2 linked regions of the Lonchura striata genome follow. Each later gene encodes a partner of the first gene's protein in a complex. Links are inferred from orthologs where the notes say so. Each region holds a gene or a part of one and is shown in the gene's direction. Other genes may lie near its edges.

Evidence for each region.
Region 2: the proteins of ATP8B1 (region 1) and TMEM30A are in contact, whole or in part, in a cryo-EM structure (PDB 7VGI), measured with the Homo sapiens proteins. The link is inferred for Lonchura striata from reciprocal best matches to the Homo sapiens genes ATP8B1 and TMEM30A. Residues at the interface, in NP_001361314.1 of Homo sapiens: Thr138, His359, Trp362, Glu363, Val366, Ser369, Ser370, Trp371, Tyr372, Leu373, Tyr374, Asp375, Gly376, Arg384, Ile388, Phe418, Asn420, Trp421, Asp422, Leu423, Tyr426, Lys430, Asp431, Thr432, Pro433, His939, Trp942, Arg946, Tyr968, Phe971; in NP_060717.1 of Homo sapiens: Lys24, Thr25, Arg26, Arg27, Pro28, Asn30, Phe33, Lys34, Gln35, Gln36, Arg37, Leu38, Pro39, Ala40, Trp41, Gln42, Pro43, Ile44, Leu45, Thr46, Ala47, Val50, Phe54, Ile57, Phe61, Ile64, Ile68, Ile75, Phe119, Tyr121.

The regions. Positions count from the first base shown.
Region 1 is NC_134642.1:511,144-519,059, forward strand, and holds the start of ATP8B1 (phospholipid-transporting ATPase IC), read left to right. Parts: upstream 1-4,900; 5' UTR 4,901-5,019; intron 5,020-5,249; 5' UTR 5,250-5,439; intron 5,440-7,146; 5' UTR 7,147-7,250; intron 7,251-7,539; exon of another isoform or gene 7,540-7,858; intron 7,859-7,916. UniProt on the Homo sapiens protein: Catalytic component of a P4-ATPase flippase complex which catalyzes the hydrolysis of ATP coupled to the transport of phospholipids, in particular phosphatidylcholines (PC), from the outer to the inner leaflet of the plasma membrane.
Region 2 is NC_134605.1:83,206,028-83,213,778, forward strand, and holds the start of TMEM30A (cell cycle control protein 50A), read left to right. Parts: upstream 1-4,751; 5' UTR 4,752-4,787; coding exon 4,788-5,054; intron 5,055-7,751. UniProt on the Homo sapiens protein: Accessory component of a P4-ATPase flippase complex which catalyzes the hydrolysis of ATP coupled to the transport of aminophospholipids from the outer to the inner leaflet of various membranes and ensures the maintenance of asymmetric distribution of phospholipids.

The DNA.
Region 1 (7,916 bases):
GGCATTCCCACTCTGCTTACTTTGGGAGTTCAATCAAATGAATGCTATCACTATCTAACATCATTAATCAGCCATTTTAAGCAGTAGTGGGGGCTTAAAGTAGGATGAGTGAGTGAGTGAATTTCTAGTTAGCACATGCTTCTCTGCATATTAATTTTTAAGTCTTGAATAGAATCATAAATCCTCATATCCTGAGTTGGAAGGGATCCACAGGGACCAGCAAAGTCCAACTCCCAAAGTCAGAGGAGAGGGCAGCCACTCCTTGCCCTCGTTCGGTTTCAAATCAATCTTTGCCATAATTCCACATGAGCTCTGCTCAGTGATTCCTTTTCTGGAATATTTCCCCCTTATTTCAGGCTTTAAGCCACATCTATAGGGAACAGAATTTCAACTTCCATAAGGCACCCTCCTTGGTGTAAAGACCGAAGGAATTTCTTTTTCCTGTGTATATGGAGCCTGCAAAAGAACCATGGGAGCTCTAAGCCAAGGAAAAGAAAAAAAAGATAAAAGGATGCTGTGATAAGTTATATGTATGTATGTGGCCACTTTATTAGAATGCCTCTAAAATATATATATATATATATATATATATATATATATATATACACACACACACATACATACATACATGTATATCTATATATACATCCATGGCTATTGGTGCAGGCCCAGTCATGAACACATAGCATCGAATGACATTGTGAGGTGGCTAAAAGCAGCAACTTCCCTCAAAAACAAACAAAGTGACTCACTTTCACATGCCTCTGGTAAAGCAGAGGGATGCTGCTACATGGCAGAGAAACCCTGTGGATCCTGGGGACAGCTGCCTTGCCAGTCCCAGGGGAACTGCGAGGTCCCATGGCAGGACCTGCCTGCTCTCGAGTGGCTCCTCACCTGTTCCTGTGTGCAGGGAACCATTGCAGGAAACCTGTGCACAGAGCTGGGTGTCCTCCTGCAAACTGCTCCTGCAATCGAGTAAAAATAACAATCCACATAACCTAACATTCCTTTTATCCGCTGCTTCCCTGCCCAGACGCGAAGCCCATGTGGTGAGAGAGCAATTGTAGGGCAGAATAATCCATTAGGAGCATCTGGATGCATACCCTGCAGCCACAATTTGTCTTGGTGTTCTTACTTTCTTCTCCTTAATTGCATTTCTTGCCTGCTGCTGTGTGAGCAGAATTTCAGTGGAATCACTTCACTAGGACATATCACTTGGAGTTGCTTCAGAGATGATTTAATCTTTGTACAATGCTTTGAACTTGTAAGTAATATTATTGCTATGTACCGTGCTCTCTCCTGGAGGATACCCCTACTACTGTGAATTTTCATGGAATTACAGCTAGAATTGCCTGGCAGACTGGTTTCTCCCATCTTTTTTTGCATGCCAGCCAGTCAGGAGAACAGCGATGTCACTATCTGGGATAACATCCCAAAGTAAACACCTGCACAAAGGGCTCTGAGTAATGTTGTAGTAATTCCTGATCACAGAAGTGCCTCCAGGGAAACATGAGATGGATTCCCTCTTTAAACCACATAAAATAATAGCAGGGTTTTGTTGCTGCTCTAGTCAAGCCAACACACATTCCCTTCCCTCAGAAAGTATGAGTGCAGCAAATTGCCCCAAATGGGTCTGGTTTTGTGCAGACAACAATGCAAGTCATAAAATCAATAATATCCCAAAACAATTGCCCAGAGCTGAACAATGGGATACACTGGGTGAAAGCTAAGCAAAAAGAATGCTCCCTTAAGGAAAGACATCACAAATCACAGAAGACAAGATGCAGCAAGGAAGAGTGACAGCCAGAAAAGCCAAAATTTTGATTTGTGGCAAAACAGACTCATAGGAAGAAAAAAAAGAAAAATAACAAAAAAAATAAACTTTCTACTGGAAAAAAAAAAAAAAAACCAAACAAACGAAACACCTAAAAAGCAAAACTAAACTAAACAAAATGAAAACAATGCATCACTGTACGCTGCAGCATTTGTCGTTTCCCAGATCCCAGGAGCTCCATTCCCTCCTGCTTCCTAAACTAATCCTGAGTGACAGCGTGTGGCTCTACCGCTTTTAAAGCATAAAGCCAAAGGTGCTCCTTCAGGAAGAGCAGCAAAGCCGGGAGGCAGCAGCTCAGTCCGTGCCGTTCCCGGAGCTCAAGCCGGAATTCAGCGGTGTGGCTCCCCATCTGTTGGCAGAAGCAAGTAGTAACGCCGGAGCTGCTCAGGAAAAAGAGACTTGGATCCAGATGGAGTCAAGGGCCCCATTCTGTGTCAGTCAGCCCCTGAATTCACAACTTGGGGAAAAGAGCTGTTCTCCACATGGGAAACATCCCTGCCATGCTTGGAGGAGAGGTTTTACAGAAACATGGACTTGTATAAAATCCATGAATTTGATGGAGCGCAGCCTGAAAGAGCAATGCGCAGGAAATATTTTTTGAATAGCTGGAGTAGGAAAAATTTCACACCTCCACGTCCTCGCCATGAAATTTGCCTTAGGATTTCTGTACGTCTCTAAGCACGAGAGGATCCCTTAACCAGGGAATAATGAGGCACTGCTCTATCTTTGTGGAATTCTCTGCTGGGCTGCACTAACTCCAACTGTGGTGATTAACAATTCAGTTGGAATGGAGCCTGATTTAAAGCTGAGCTCTCTCCAGCAAGTGCCAAACTTGCGGCAGGAAAGTACCTGGGCAGAGAAATGCTCCCTGGAGAAACCTGTACGCAAACACACGAGTCTCCTGGTAATGTTCCTGTTCTTAGGAGAATTTCAAAGGTTCTGGCACAACATGCACCCACCCCTTTAATTGATTCAGTGAACAGTGTTCCATCTGAAATCACATTGCTGCATGAGGAGGCACGAAGGCACAGGTATCCCTCTGCCAAGGGCTATCTCTGGACCTGTGGCTGCTATTGATTTGTTGGTTCCTTCTCTCCTAGATATCGATGTTAGGAAACTGAAACTCCCAAAAGATCTGGGCTCAGCCTTCTTGACACTGAAACAGGCCTTTAGCCTAGGGAGATCTCTATCAATTTTGTCTGAAAGTTTTTCACTTAAATGGGGGAGGAAATAAGGAAAAAGAAGAAACGCTCCACGTTTTGACATAGAAAGGCACAATTCTTTCAGCATGAAGAATTGCCACCATTTACTTCCTGCCTACAAACCGTACAAGTTGCAGCATCTGCCCTTTCCTCAAATTAATAATTTTCAAAATTACCATCTAAATTACTTTTGATTCCAGATTAGCTGAAAGGTATAGAGAATTAAACTCTTTCCCCCCCGTTTGGATTAATTGATAGAGAAAACCATGGAAAGATGAACAGGGAGAGGATTGCTTAGGAAGACTATCTGCATTATTTCCCAGTTTCTTCATATTAAGAGAATGAATCAAATAAGAATGTGAATAAATAGGTGTGTTCAGAGCTGCTTAAATACAGAATTACTGATATGTACAACAGTGGTGTCCCAAACCCTGACAAAATAAGACAAACAGGAATAGAGGCTGGGAAGGAGAGGAGGAGCAGTGGGACAGAAAGGAGTGTATTTTTTACTAGGGCATGTTGCTGTTTTGGAGAGAAGGAGCACGAGTGAAAGATGAGACTGAGGAATAAAGGAGAGGATGAAGGAGAAAAGTCCTGAAGCAGAACTGGAAATACCTGCTGGAAGTGACCAAGAGCAGGATCTGAGAGGGGCAGCGGCGGATGCTCCTCCTCATGGCCCCAGTGCAGGGAACAGCTGCTGTTTCCCTCAGACACGGATCTGTAGGACGTAAGTGTAAAACTAATATTTGGGCTGGGCCATTAGTCACTGTTAAGGGGCCCTTTTATCTCTAGTAATCTCCTTCCTGACAGTGTGTCCCACACACCAGGCTTTGCATGCAGCAACCTTGTGAATACTGAACTCAAAGCCAAATGTTCAGCCCAGGACAGGAATGAATGTCCTGCCCAGAGCAGGAATTGTCAAAAGCACAAGGAACCTCTGCTACTTTGTTCAGCCAAAATGTTCCTGATTTTAATTAACTTTGGTTTTATTCTGGTGTGAGGAATTTGAGGCAGGCAGAAAAACAGAAAGGTGCTGAAAGACATAGCTCTGGAACTCAGCATCACATCTTTGGTCCAGGAAAACCAAGTGTGTTGGAACAAGAGTTTTCTGGCACAGGAAAATTGAATATTGTTGCTGTTGAAAAAGCAACCAAGTAATCTCTACAATACCTGCCAGTCCAAAACAAAGGTCGCTTTTAGTACAGTGCAGCAGCCCATCATCACTTTAAGAGACAGAATTTTCCAGATTTTTATACTTAATCAAATCAGCAACTGTATCTGCATTCCACTTGCCCTAAATTGCATCACTTGTCAACAAATGTGCATATGGCAGAACAGCACTACTGTCATCCCTAAATATATATATAGAAATATATATAAAGATAAATAACTTTATCTGTTAATTAATCTGCTTATTAATAAGCAAAACCATCGGTTAAGAATATCACTCTCGTGCATCCTCCAAGTCTCCAGTCTTTCCTCAAAAGGATTTGGAAACCAGGAGTCAGTTTGGAGCTTTTAAAAGGCCAAAAGTTTAAAATGCTATACCCTTCCAAAGCTCTCAAAATAAGCGATAAAGCAATCCTGTAATTTAGAACAACGCCAGGCGGGAGGTCCCAGCTATCACCAGAGCTTCACCAGAGCAGGGTTCCTCCAGGATCCGCAGCTCGGCACGTCCCGCGGGTGCCAGAACGGCCTCCGGCCCCCACGGCAGCATCTCCCGCGGGTGCCAAGAGCGGCGGGAGCGGCGGCCGGGCCGGGCCGGGCCGGGCCGGGGGCCGGGCGGGGGGCCGGGCCGGGCGGGGGGCCGGCCGTGGCGGCCCCTCCCCTGCTGCCCTACTCCCTTGCTGCCTTGCGGCCCCTCGCCTGCTCCGGAGAACCGGGGGAACCCGTCCGGCCGGTCTGGCGGCGGCTCGCAGGCAGCCGGGGCGGGCGCGGGGCTCCGGAGGCGCTGAGCGAGCCAGCGGGAACCCGCGGGCACAGGTGAGGCCGGGGGCTCCTGCGGGGCAGGGGCTGCCCGTAGCCGCGGGGCGGTGGCACGATGTGTCCATCGCCACCGGGGCCGGCCGGCGCCACCTCCGCCGGTGCCGCGCTCGGTGCGGGCCGGGGCTCAGGGCCGGCTCTGTCCCGGCCCGCCCCGCCGCACAGGTGCGGCCGGAGCTGACCTCGGGCGCACCCGGAACGCCTTCCCTTCTTTTCTCTTCCCTTCCCAGCATATCGCCGGCTCGGAGCGGGAGCCCCGACGCGTTGTTTCGGAGGGTTTAGAGCCCGGCGGGACCCCGCGGGAATCGGCGTCCCCCTCGCTCCCACCCGCGGGATATGCGGCCGCTGATGGTCGAACTTAGCGCAGAGTCTCTCCGCTCTGAAGTTTAAAGAAAGAGCAGGAGGTTGCTGGAAGGCGAGGTAAGGCAGCTCGGCTATCTCCTGTCCCCCCGAGCCCCCCGGGCACTGACTCGTGGCCCCGGGCTGCTTGCCCAACTCCCGGCTTTCCCCCGCCGCCCATGCCTATGCACGATGAGAACAGCCTTCAGGGCTGCGAGTGATTACTCATTGGTCGGTGTTTATGCAGTCATCAGAGCAGCAATAGCTTTCTGCATTAAGGAACAGTAACTCTGCAGTAGAATATACTGGGCAAGTTACTTGTGCGGTCAGTGACTTGCTTGGAAAACAAAACAAAATTGGTGTCTCGGTGCTGCTAGCTCGTGCTTATAGCTTAAATAGCATCCCGTCCTTGGAGGTCGGATGCAGCTGTGCTGAATGGAGCAGCTAATGGAGCATTGCACTGCTGGCTCGGGTGTCAGCAGGAGCGGTTTGAAACCGAAGAGGCCAAACAGCTCTGGCAGGGACCAGTGCTGGCAATGAGTAACAGCCGGGGTGTTTGGCTGTGGAGAGCCGGGACCGTAGGACTTGGGGTGGCAGCCTGGCCCTTGAGCAGTCCCCACCTGCGTGGCTGCTGCTGCTGGTGAGAGTCCCTGGATTAACATCCTGTTAGTGGCTGTGCTGGATGAGGCTTGCTCAGGTTTCTGTTTGGTCGTGGGGTTTCATTTGTCGTTGTCCTCAAAGCCTGGTTTAGAAGACGAGTAGTGTCTGGCTGTTTTTGATGTTTTCCTTGTCAGCTTTTGCACTGGTGGTCACCTTAGTCTGGTTGCTTTTGTACCTGTCCCAAGGCTCTGTTTGTCTCTGTGTTAATTTGTAGCTATCGTAGAGATTATTTTCAGTAACTTCTAAACTGTTCTCACTTAATTCTGCCATATAAGACAGCGTGTAAATGTTCTGGACCTTTGCTTTTGAGTTTGGCATAGTGAATTCCAAAAGCACTTGCAGTGGAGCCATTTTAAAATGAGCTGGGATTTATTTCTCCGCTCTCTTGTTGGTGTGGCTGTTGTTAGAGGGCCGAGAGCACGAAGTGCTGCCTGCTCTTCAATGTGGAAAGGCGGTTGGTTGTTGTTTCAGATGTTTCAGATGCGAGGGGTTCTGCTGTTCTTCCTGCCGAGGGCTTTTCCAGTTCTCTTTTAAAGGAGATGCTTTGTGCAGCTGTAATTGAATGCAGGACGTGTGCCAGGAGCTTCTGCAACCCAACCCTGGCTCTGTCAGTGACTTACCCAATGGCCTTGGGCAAATCACTTAACCTCTCTGTCTCTCTGCTTGTCGGGGTGAAGGGCACGATTCTCGTTCCAGACCGATTCTTTGAGATTCTCTGAGCCTTCCTTGGCAGGTGCCGGGCTCTGTGGTAGCACTGCTTTTTGGCAAGCTTACAGAATCCCTCTGGAACGTGTGCTGGGTTTTCCCCATGTGTTCTGATATACACTTGCAATATGATTTTCATTTGACAATTGATGGTGATAGGAAAGATGCACGAATGACTGTACTTTGTACAGCTACAGGGTGTAGCTGTTAATATCTTTGAAAGGTCTCTACCAGCCTCAAGCCATGAGTTTGTCACAGAGCCCAGACACCTTAGGGTAATAGGACAAATGGCTCCACACAAAGCATAAGAAATTTTGCAAGGCAAATTAATTTCACAATTTTTCTAAAGAATAGTTTTTTGTTATTGTGTGCACACAAGGTGGAATCAGCCAATAAACCATTTTCTACATGGTTTCATTGCAGATGGAGCCTGATTTGAAGCTGAAGGCAGCGGATTCTCTGTGAGTGGCCAGTGGCAGCATTTGTGATGCAGTCTGAGCTTCAGTCACACACTCCATTGGATAAAGGTCAGTTTAGGAAAATGGCTTCAGTGTCTATTGTAGATGCTACCAGAAGAGGTGTATTAATGGAATCTCCAGTCTTGGTAGCAGGAAGTAACCTTTATTTAGCCAGTTAAAATTACTTGCTGGTTTTGATGGTGACGGTGACTGCTAGGAAAAAAACTCTCTGTGTAGTTCCAAAAATCTTCTACTCCAAATAATGCAGTTTAAGCATGCACAACAAGAATTCTTTTTTCCTCTATTAACCTCAATATGAGCTGTTGTATAACATGAACCTCGAGAGCAAGGTAACACCCTCTAAAAGGCAAGCTGAAACCCCTTCAGAGTGTGCTGGAACCTGCAGCTTGAGCAAAGGTTACCCGCCCTCTTATCTTCTGCAAAGATAGCTTGCCTTGCCTTGGACTTTAAATGACAGAACTCTGCAGATCTGTTAATGAGAAATCCTAGAGCAGATAATGGGGAAAATGATGATTTTTGTTTCTGCAATGGCCCATCTTCAAGCATTTTTGCATAACCTCAGGCAGCTGGCCTGTACACTGTGGGTCTTTTTCTTGGATTTCTTGATTTTCTGTTCAGTTCTCGGTGTCCAGTTAATCTCTTCCTTGTGTCAAATCCTGTAGGCTCATCAGGAAAAATTAGGTACATTGGAAAGTCCTTCATACTTATTTTCAT
Region 2 (7,751 bases), on another chromosome or scaffold:
TGTAAATGTAGGTTTTTGCATTTCAGCTCCAGTTTCTTAAGGCTGGCAGCACTCACCTATATATTTGTTTATGGGGACAGTATATGGATTAGGAAGTTCCTTTTTCTGACTGGTGTCTCAATACAGTGTCACAGTGAAGTACAGGGTGAAACTGATTCATAGAATCACAGAATGGTTTGGGTTGGAAGGCCCTTAAAGATCATGTAGTTCCAGTCCCCCTGCCATGGGCAGGAATGCCTTCCACTAGATCAAGTTGCTCAAAGCTCCATCCAACCTGGCCTTGAACACTTCCAGCAAAGCTGCTCAACAGCTTCTCTGGGTATTTTGTTCCAGTGTCTCACAACCCTCAAAGTGAAGAATTTCTTCCCAGTATCTAATGTAAACCTACTGCCTTTCAGTTTGAAGCCATTCCTCCTTGTCCTGTCACAACATGCCCATGCCACTCTCCCCATCTTTCTTGTAGGCTCAGAAGTTAAGATACAGAGATGGATCAATCACCAAGCCCTTCATGACTTAATTGTTTCTAAGCTTGTGCTTTCACAGCACAGGCAGAGATGTTTGACTGGTACTGTCAGAATCTTTGGTCCTGGACTAGACACCAGGCACTCTGCCGTGCGCTCAGGGGCCCCTTTTACACTGGTGGCTGTAGCTTCTCAAATAGCATCCTGAGAGTTCTGTGGCAGCTATACTTAGGGTGATTTTTGAATGCATGATAAATAAAGCTACATGCAATCCAGGCAGGGTCTTTTTTTCTTTTACCTTTCATAACCAATGATTTTTATTCTAAGTCATTGGCACATACTTAAAATACTGCAGATTTTTAACTGCAGAAGCTACTGGGATAAATTATTTTTTTGGAAAGGAAAAGTGTTGTTTGCAGGAGATGTGCTGTGAGATGCCATAAAGACTGCATTAATGCAGCATCCCACTGGGATGGTTAGGTTGGTGCATCTTTGAAGTCGGAATATCACATGGCTGCATAGTCAATTTGGTCTTCATGGGAGCCACGGGAGCTGTTTCTCCTTTTACATGTGAGCTCTGCAGCAAATGCTGACACTCTAGAGAAGCAGGATATTCTGGGACCTGTATGAACTTTTGTGGAGTAGATCTCCATTGTGAAGAGTTTACTAATACAGCTATAGAGACGAATCAAAATTAAGTGCTGCTTATCCTGGTGGAAGAGAAATTTTGTTGGTATAGCTTATACTTAGCTGGTACACCATGTCACCATGTTTTTTAAGGAGTGGTTTGGTTTTTTTTTGTACAACAGACAATATATGCCAATAACATAGCTGTGTTTGTAGATCATATTTTACTGCACGCTGAGAAAAATTCAAGCTTTTGGAGAACAATACAGATGAGGTGAATAAAGTTTAGTGTGTGCCACATTTCAGTTTACTGCACAGCAGAATGAACATTGTAGTGACCCAGATCTTCTATTTTCAAAACATTACTTGGGAATTGAAACCTATCCATGTTAAGATCTACACTAAGCTCAGCCACACTGAAATTCCTGGTTATTTGAAAGTAACGGTGACATGCCTGAAATAAACTTCAGCTTTTAAATATGAGTAGGACACAAGTAAAATGGTATTCCAAAATTGAGTCTAGATTTAAAAGGTGCCAGTCAAAGTAGAAAATATTTTTCCTTGTCTAAATTTTAATATAAAGCCAATTAATGATGAGTGTAAGTTTATTATTCATAAACAAATACATAAACATTTATGGTTTTTCACTTATATTAAGCTTTTAAGATTCCCAAAATAAAGCTTTGTTTAAAGCATACATACAATCATGGTGTATCGAAATAATTTGGATTTTAAAATATTTTTGATGAACTACAACACTTTGGAGTAGGAGACTGGTGATTTCATCTTGCATTTATGTTCCTGGTCAATTTTTTACATTACCTAACTTGGATATGAATCTAAGATAAATATGTAAAAAAAGAGCATTAGCCACATAATTAGTCTGTATTCTGGGGAGACTCAGGAAGAAATCTATTAATATAGACTAAAGATGTGATTAATTTCTACAACTACTGTAATTTTAATGGAGGTAATTGGGAAGAGCTTACACACTAAGACAATGTGAAATATAGATGCTATATATATATATATATATATATATATATGCTATAGATATCAGAAGCTTTTAAGCAATAGAAAACCAGTGAAAGATCTACTTTTCCCTTAGAGATCTCTTACCATATAAAGAGGACTGAAAGACCTGTGTAGTTTAATTATAGTGATAAAATACAGAGTTTCAATCCATGAAAAAAAAATCTCAAATACTTAGATTTCTAGAGATAAATGCTACAGCCTGTGAGTTTTCTTCTTGTCTTGTTGTGAAACATAATTAGACAAATTTAACACACCCTTTCTTGCCAGTCCTCTTGCACCTGAGAGCATCAGGTCCCAGCTTCCCAACATCGCCCCTTGATTTTCCTTCTGCTAGGGAAATTTCTTGCCATCTCTCACCACAGGTTTACAAGCTTTCTTGTTCCCTTGAGATCCCAGGTTGCATCTCTCTGGATCCTCTGTGACACTGTGGGAATAAAAATTACTATAGCTGAAGGTAATAATTGCAAACAGAAGATAATAAGGAAAGCATGGTACTAGAGACAATGGGCTTATCCAGGGGGAATGGCAGCAAAAGTTTGGGTCCACAAGACAGTGGAAAAGATTAATTTGGAATGAAATACAGTTTTAGCATAGATTCCACAAGGAATATAATTAACTTTTGTAGTCTATATAATTATTTAGGCACCAAATTAATACTTATCTTTTCGATATTTATCTATATACCCAAATTCCCTACACTATGGCAAGGAGGCCTTTTGTGCCTCTATAGTGAAATACATTTGCACAAGTCAGGTGCTCCCCCCAGTGGTCTTGGCTGATGCTCTCGCTGCTCCAGAGAACTAAAAGGCATTTATTTTACATCAACTGTTCCATAGCCAGCTAAAAAGTCTTCAGATTGGACTACATTATAAACTTATTTAATTAAATAGTTCTACTTACTTTTTTCCTTGAAATCAAGTAAATACATAAATATTTGCTGAATGTGGATTTGGCAGCACTCTAGAGTGACTGCATAGGAAGTCCTCACAAAACAGACTTTAATGCAGAAGTGCCAGTGAAGTGAGAAACATGAAATTCCAAGGTTGCATTAGCTTGAGCAATGCCTGCTAAAGCAGGTCTTCTGGGATGCAAGTACATACTCACACATTGCGTTCCACAAGGTGACTGCTTCTCCATGAAAGGGTTTTAACCACTGAAACAGACGGCCCTGGAGGGGTGGTGGAATCCCTGTTCCTGGAGGTGTTAAAGGACAGACTGTAAATGGTAGCAAGTGTCATGGTGTAGTTGGCACAGTGGTGTTCAGTCAAAGGGTGGGCTCAATGACCTCAGACGTCTTTCCCAGCCTGATTGATTCTGTGATTCTGTTTAGCACAGTCAGATTAGCTCACAAGGGGAAACAACAACATCCATATGTATAAGTATCTAAAGGGTGGGTGTCGAGTCAGAGTGAGCCAGACTCTTCTCAGTGGTGCGAATGAACAGAACAAGAGGCACCAGGCAGAAACTGATGCATAGAAAGTTCCACCAGAATACGAGGAAGAACTTCCTCAGTGTGTGGGTGACTGAGCACTAGAAGAGATTTCTCAGAGAGGCTGCAGTCTCCCTGACTGGAGATATTCAAAAAACATCTGGATGCAGTCCTGTGCCATGTGCTCTGGGATGACTCTGAGCAGGGGAGTTGGACCGGATGACTCTCTGTGGTCCCTTCCAGCCCTACCTGCTCTGTGGTTCTGTATTCACTGCACTGATTCACTCACACCGACAGCAGAGCAGGAGGACAGAGCAGAACCACTCCCAAAAGTGGTGGTCGGCACACACAGCTCCATTGACAGCAGCTCTCAAAATTCTCATGCATTATTACATCTCTACAGTGGCACTAATCCTATTTATGAGGCTAGGAAGCCGAAGCTGACTTCTCAGTTTTTGACCCAAAGGACACTGCCTTGGGTCAGCACATGCCAACAGGGAGGATGAAAGGCAGTGCTCCTGGAGCACTGAGTGGGGGATGCCAAGGCTGCGGTCCCAGGTCTTACCCCAACCTTGGGCACGAGGTGCCAGGACCCCTGCCCAAAGTCTGGAATCCTCATCCTCACGGAGCAGAGCCTGCCTGGCCAGCACATAGAACACGTTCTGTGAGGAGCCCATAGAACACGTCCTGTGAGGAGCAGCTGAGGAGGCTGGGTGTTCAGCCTGAAGAAAAGGAGGGTTTGAGGGAGGACATTATTCTCTCTACAACTCCCTGAGGAAAGGTTGGGTTGAGGTGGGACTGGTCTGGTCTGCCGTGCCTGCAGTGAGGACAACAGGAAATGTCCTTAGCTGAAACAGGGGAGATGCAAATCAGATATTAAAAAAAAATATTCACTATTACGGTGGTCATTGGAACAGGTTGCCCAGGAAGGTGGTAGTCACCATCCCTGGACGTGTTCAAGAGGTGACTGGATCTGGCACTGGGTGACGTGGCTTAGCGGTTTAGGGGTCACAGTGGCAGTGCCGGGCGGATGACCGGACCGGATGATCTAGCGGGTCTCTTCCCATCTCGACCACTCCGAGCCTCCATGACCCCCAGCCGCCATCATCTGCGCAAGCGCGCGGCCGTGGCGCGTCACCGCCCGCGCGCCGCCGTGCCCCGTCCCGCGGCTGCCGCGGCCGAGTGCGCAGGCGCGGTGCCCCCGGTCACGTGTCGGCGGCGGCGGCGGCGGCGCCATGGCGGTGAACTACAGCGCCAAGGAGGAGGCGGACGGGCACCCCTCGGGCGGCGTCGGCGTGCCGGGCGGCGGCGCGGTGGGCGGCGGCGGCGCCGTGAAGACCCGCAAGCCTGACAATACCGCTTTCAAGCAGCAGCGGCTGCCGGCTTGGCAGCCCATCCTGACAGCGGGCACGGTGCTGCCGGCCTTCTTCATCATCGGCCTCATCTTCATCCCCATCGGCATCGGCATCTTCGTCACTTCGAACAACATCCGCGAGTACGAGGTGCGCGGGGCGGTGTGCCGGGCCGGGGCTTTGGGATAGCGGGGCTCGCCTGCCGGGAGGCCGCCTGCGGCTCTGGGAGGTGCGGTCGCCTCCGTCCCCTCCCGGCCTGCGGCGGGGCCCGGGCGGGTTCTGTGCGGAGCGGACGCGGCCCTCGGGCGGCTCCGGTCCGCCCAAGGTCTGTGCTCGTCAGCAGCGCGCCCATTAATTACCCTGGGCAGGCACCGAGCTGACAGCCATCTCCGCATAGCTCTTCCGTGAGTTCTGTCAGTGCTCCCGAGGGAACTTCCAGAGAAGTTACTGCCTGCATTCCATCGACACAGCTCAGTGCACGTTTTTTTCCTCAGCAATACCGATAGTAAGCGCATCATCCGTGGGATAGTCTGTGGTTGTCTATTATTTGTCTTCAAATGCTCCAAAGTAATTGTATTTTCAGGACAAAGCTCTGTGGTGAATCTGTTGCTGTTATTCTTACCTGCACCGATGATTTAATGTTGCTGGTGCTGTATGGGAGACCAGGATTGAAGAGTATGGCTTTTTCTAAATAACACAAACTCGAGTCTGAGTTTATCTGATTTACATTTGATAACCAGCCATGCTACTGTTGTGAAAAGTTGCTGAGCCTTAGCTGAAAACTGAACTGTATATCACAGATAGATCCAGCTGATAACAGAACTGGTTTGTGTTGAAAGGAAATAACTCACAAGGCTTAGGGGTGGACAGCCTTGAGAAGCAATTGACAGCTATTATTAGTTTTGGTGAGCTAATATGACTGAGATTGATTGTAGGGAAGAAGGTGTGTGGTTGTTCTTCGTGGTTTTTTAATTGGAGAGTATGAATTTTTGTGCATTAAATCACTCTAGTTACTAGACCAAGCTGCCACTTTCAAATAAGCAGTGTTTAAGACAGTAGCTTGGCTGGCAAGTTGTCACTGAAGCCCAGTTAGCTAAAGAAATCATGAGGGAGGGAATGGATGGTGTTTCCATATTTCTCTTAAAGTGCAAATAAGGTTATAATGAAACCAATTTTACCCCCTTTTATGTTAGGATCTACAGTTAGGGAGAAAAGCAGAAGGGAAAACCCCAAAAGCTGAAGTGTATTTTACAGCATCCTAATTTGTATGTAAGCCTATTTTTTAGAAAATAGTTGTTTCTTATAACAAGTGTTCAGGTTATGCTGAACATCTGAAAATTGGCACAGGTGCTTCAGAAAACATGGCCTACTTGTCATGGGCACATAAGTTTTTAAATTGTCATGTTATAGCATATTTAAGGGTTTTCAAGACTCTGGGGAGAGAAGTATAAAAATATCCATGCTAACTCTGATTTTTGTTGACAACTGCATTTGAAATAGTCATTTCTATAGTAAAGCAGTATGAAGTTTTAGATAATTGTAATTGGACAAATGTATCTTTTTTCCATTATAACTTAATCTGCGTTGATCTGTGTGAATAAGAAGTGCATCAGTTTCATGAGTCCATAAACATACATGATTTTGTGCCTATATTGCTGCTGTGTGCTTATAAAGGATTTTTATATACTGTTGTTGCTTAAGCAGCTCAGTCAGGTACTCCTGGTAAGTTCCAGTAGAACCCAAAAATCAGCTGTTCCCACCTAACATTTGGTATAAAAGTCGTAGGTGAGCTGGGAGCATTACCAATGCTCCACTACACAGTCAGGCTGTGCATGTACAGCAGCACTAACCATTTGTAGTGGAGACAGCTGGCAGGTCCTCTCTAATCTTCAGATCAGTATCTTCAGTCCTCTCTAATCTCAAGATACTCAAGACTGAAAAGAATTTAATTTGTTTTACTATATGGAATTACTCTTTCACCGTTTGAAATTATCAAAAAATTCTCGGCTTTTGTGAGGACAGAAGGGACTTTTGGAGTCTGTGGTAAGTCAGAAGGGGGAAACTTGTATTCTGTTGCCTGATCCTCTTACATGTTTTATGAAGTGCTCATCCAGCGGCATTCTACAAGTGAGATTATCATCCTAAAGGCAGCTGAATTAAAAAAAAAAAAAAAAGCAAATTTAAATCAAAAGAGGTGCAGCCACAAAACACATATAAAGCATTTTACCAATTAGGACCAACATCTGGGCTCTAAACACTGCTGAGGGATGCAGTTTAAGACACTGCTATAACATATATGCTTAGATGACATACATCCCTGCTTAGAATGCTGGCTTTTGTTATAACCTTTTGTTATAAGCTCCAAAAGTTATTCACAAACAGCTGTAAGTTTAGCTGTGGGAGAGAAGACATCCAGAAGCTACATGCAATGACTAAGCTTTTTTAGAAATGTAATTGGGGGAGGAAGCACAGGTGGTTATTTACACCTGCCTCCAAGGCAATAGCATACCTCTCAAATCTGTAAACTTAGTGTATTGGAATTGAATAGGATGTATAATTTGGGACCCTGAATACCTATTTATGTTCAAGTCACTCTTTCCTGAAATAAGGTGTGGTAGCCATTAGTATCTCTATGGACTGTGCTGTTCTTCTACAGGTGCAAGGACTGAGCAGCAAAATGTACCTCTTCCATTGATTTCCTTTACAAGATGTCTTGAATTCAAGTGGAAGATTTCCAACAGTTTAGGTGACTAGATCTGTCGGGTTTTTGTTAAATTTTCTCTGGCTTCAAAAGGGTATAATCAGTCATTTATCTTGAGTCTGTTGTTAAAATAGTTCATTTGGGTG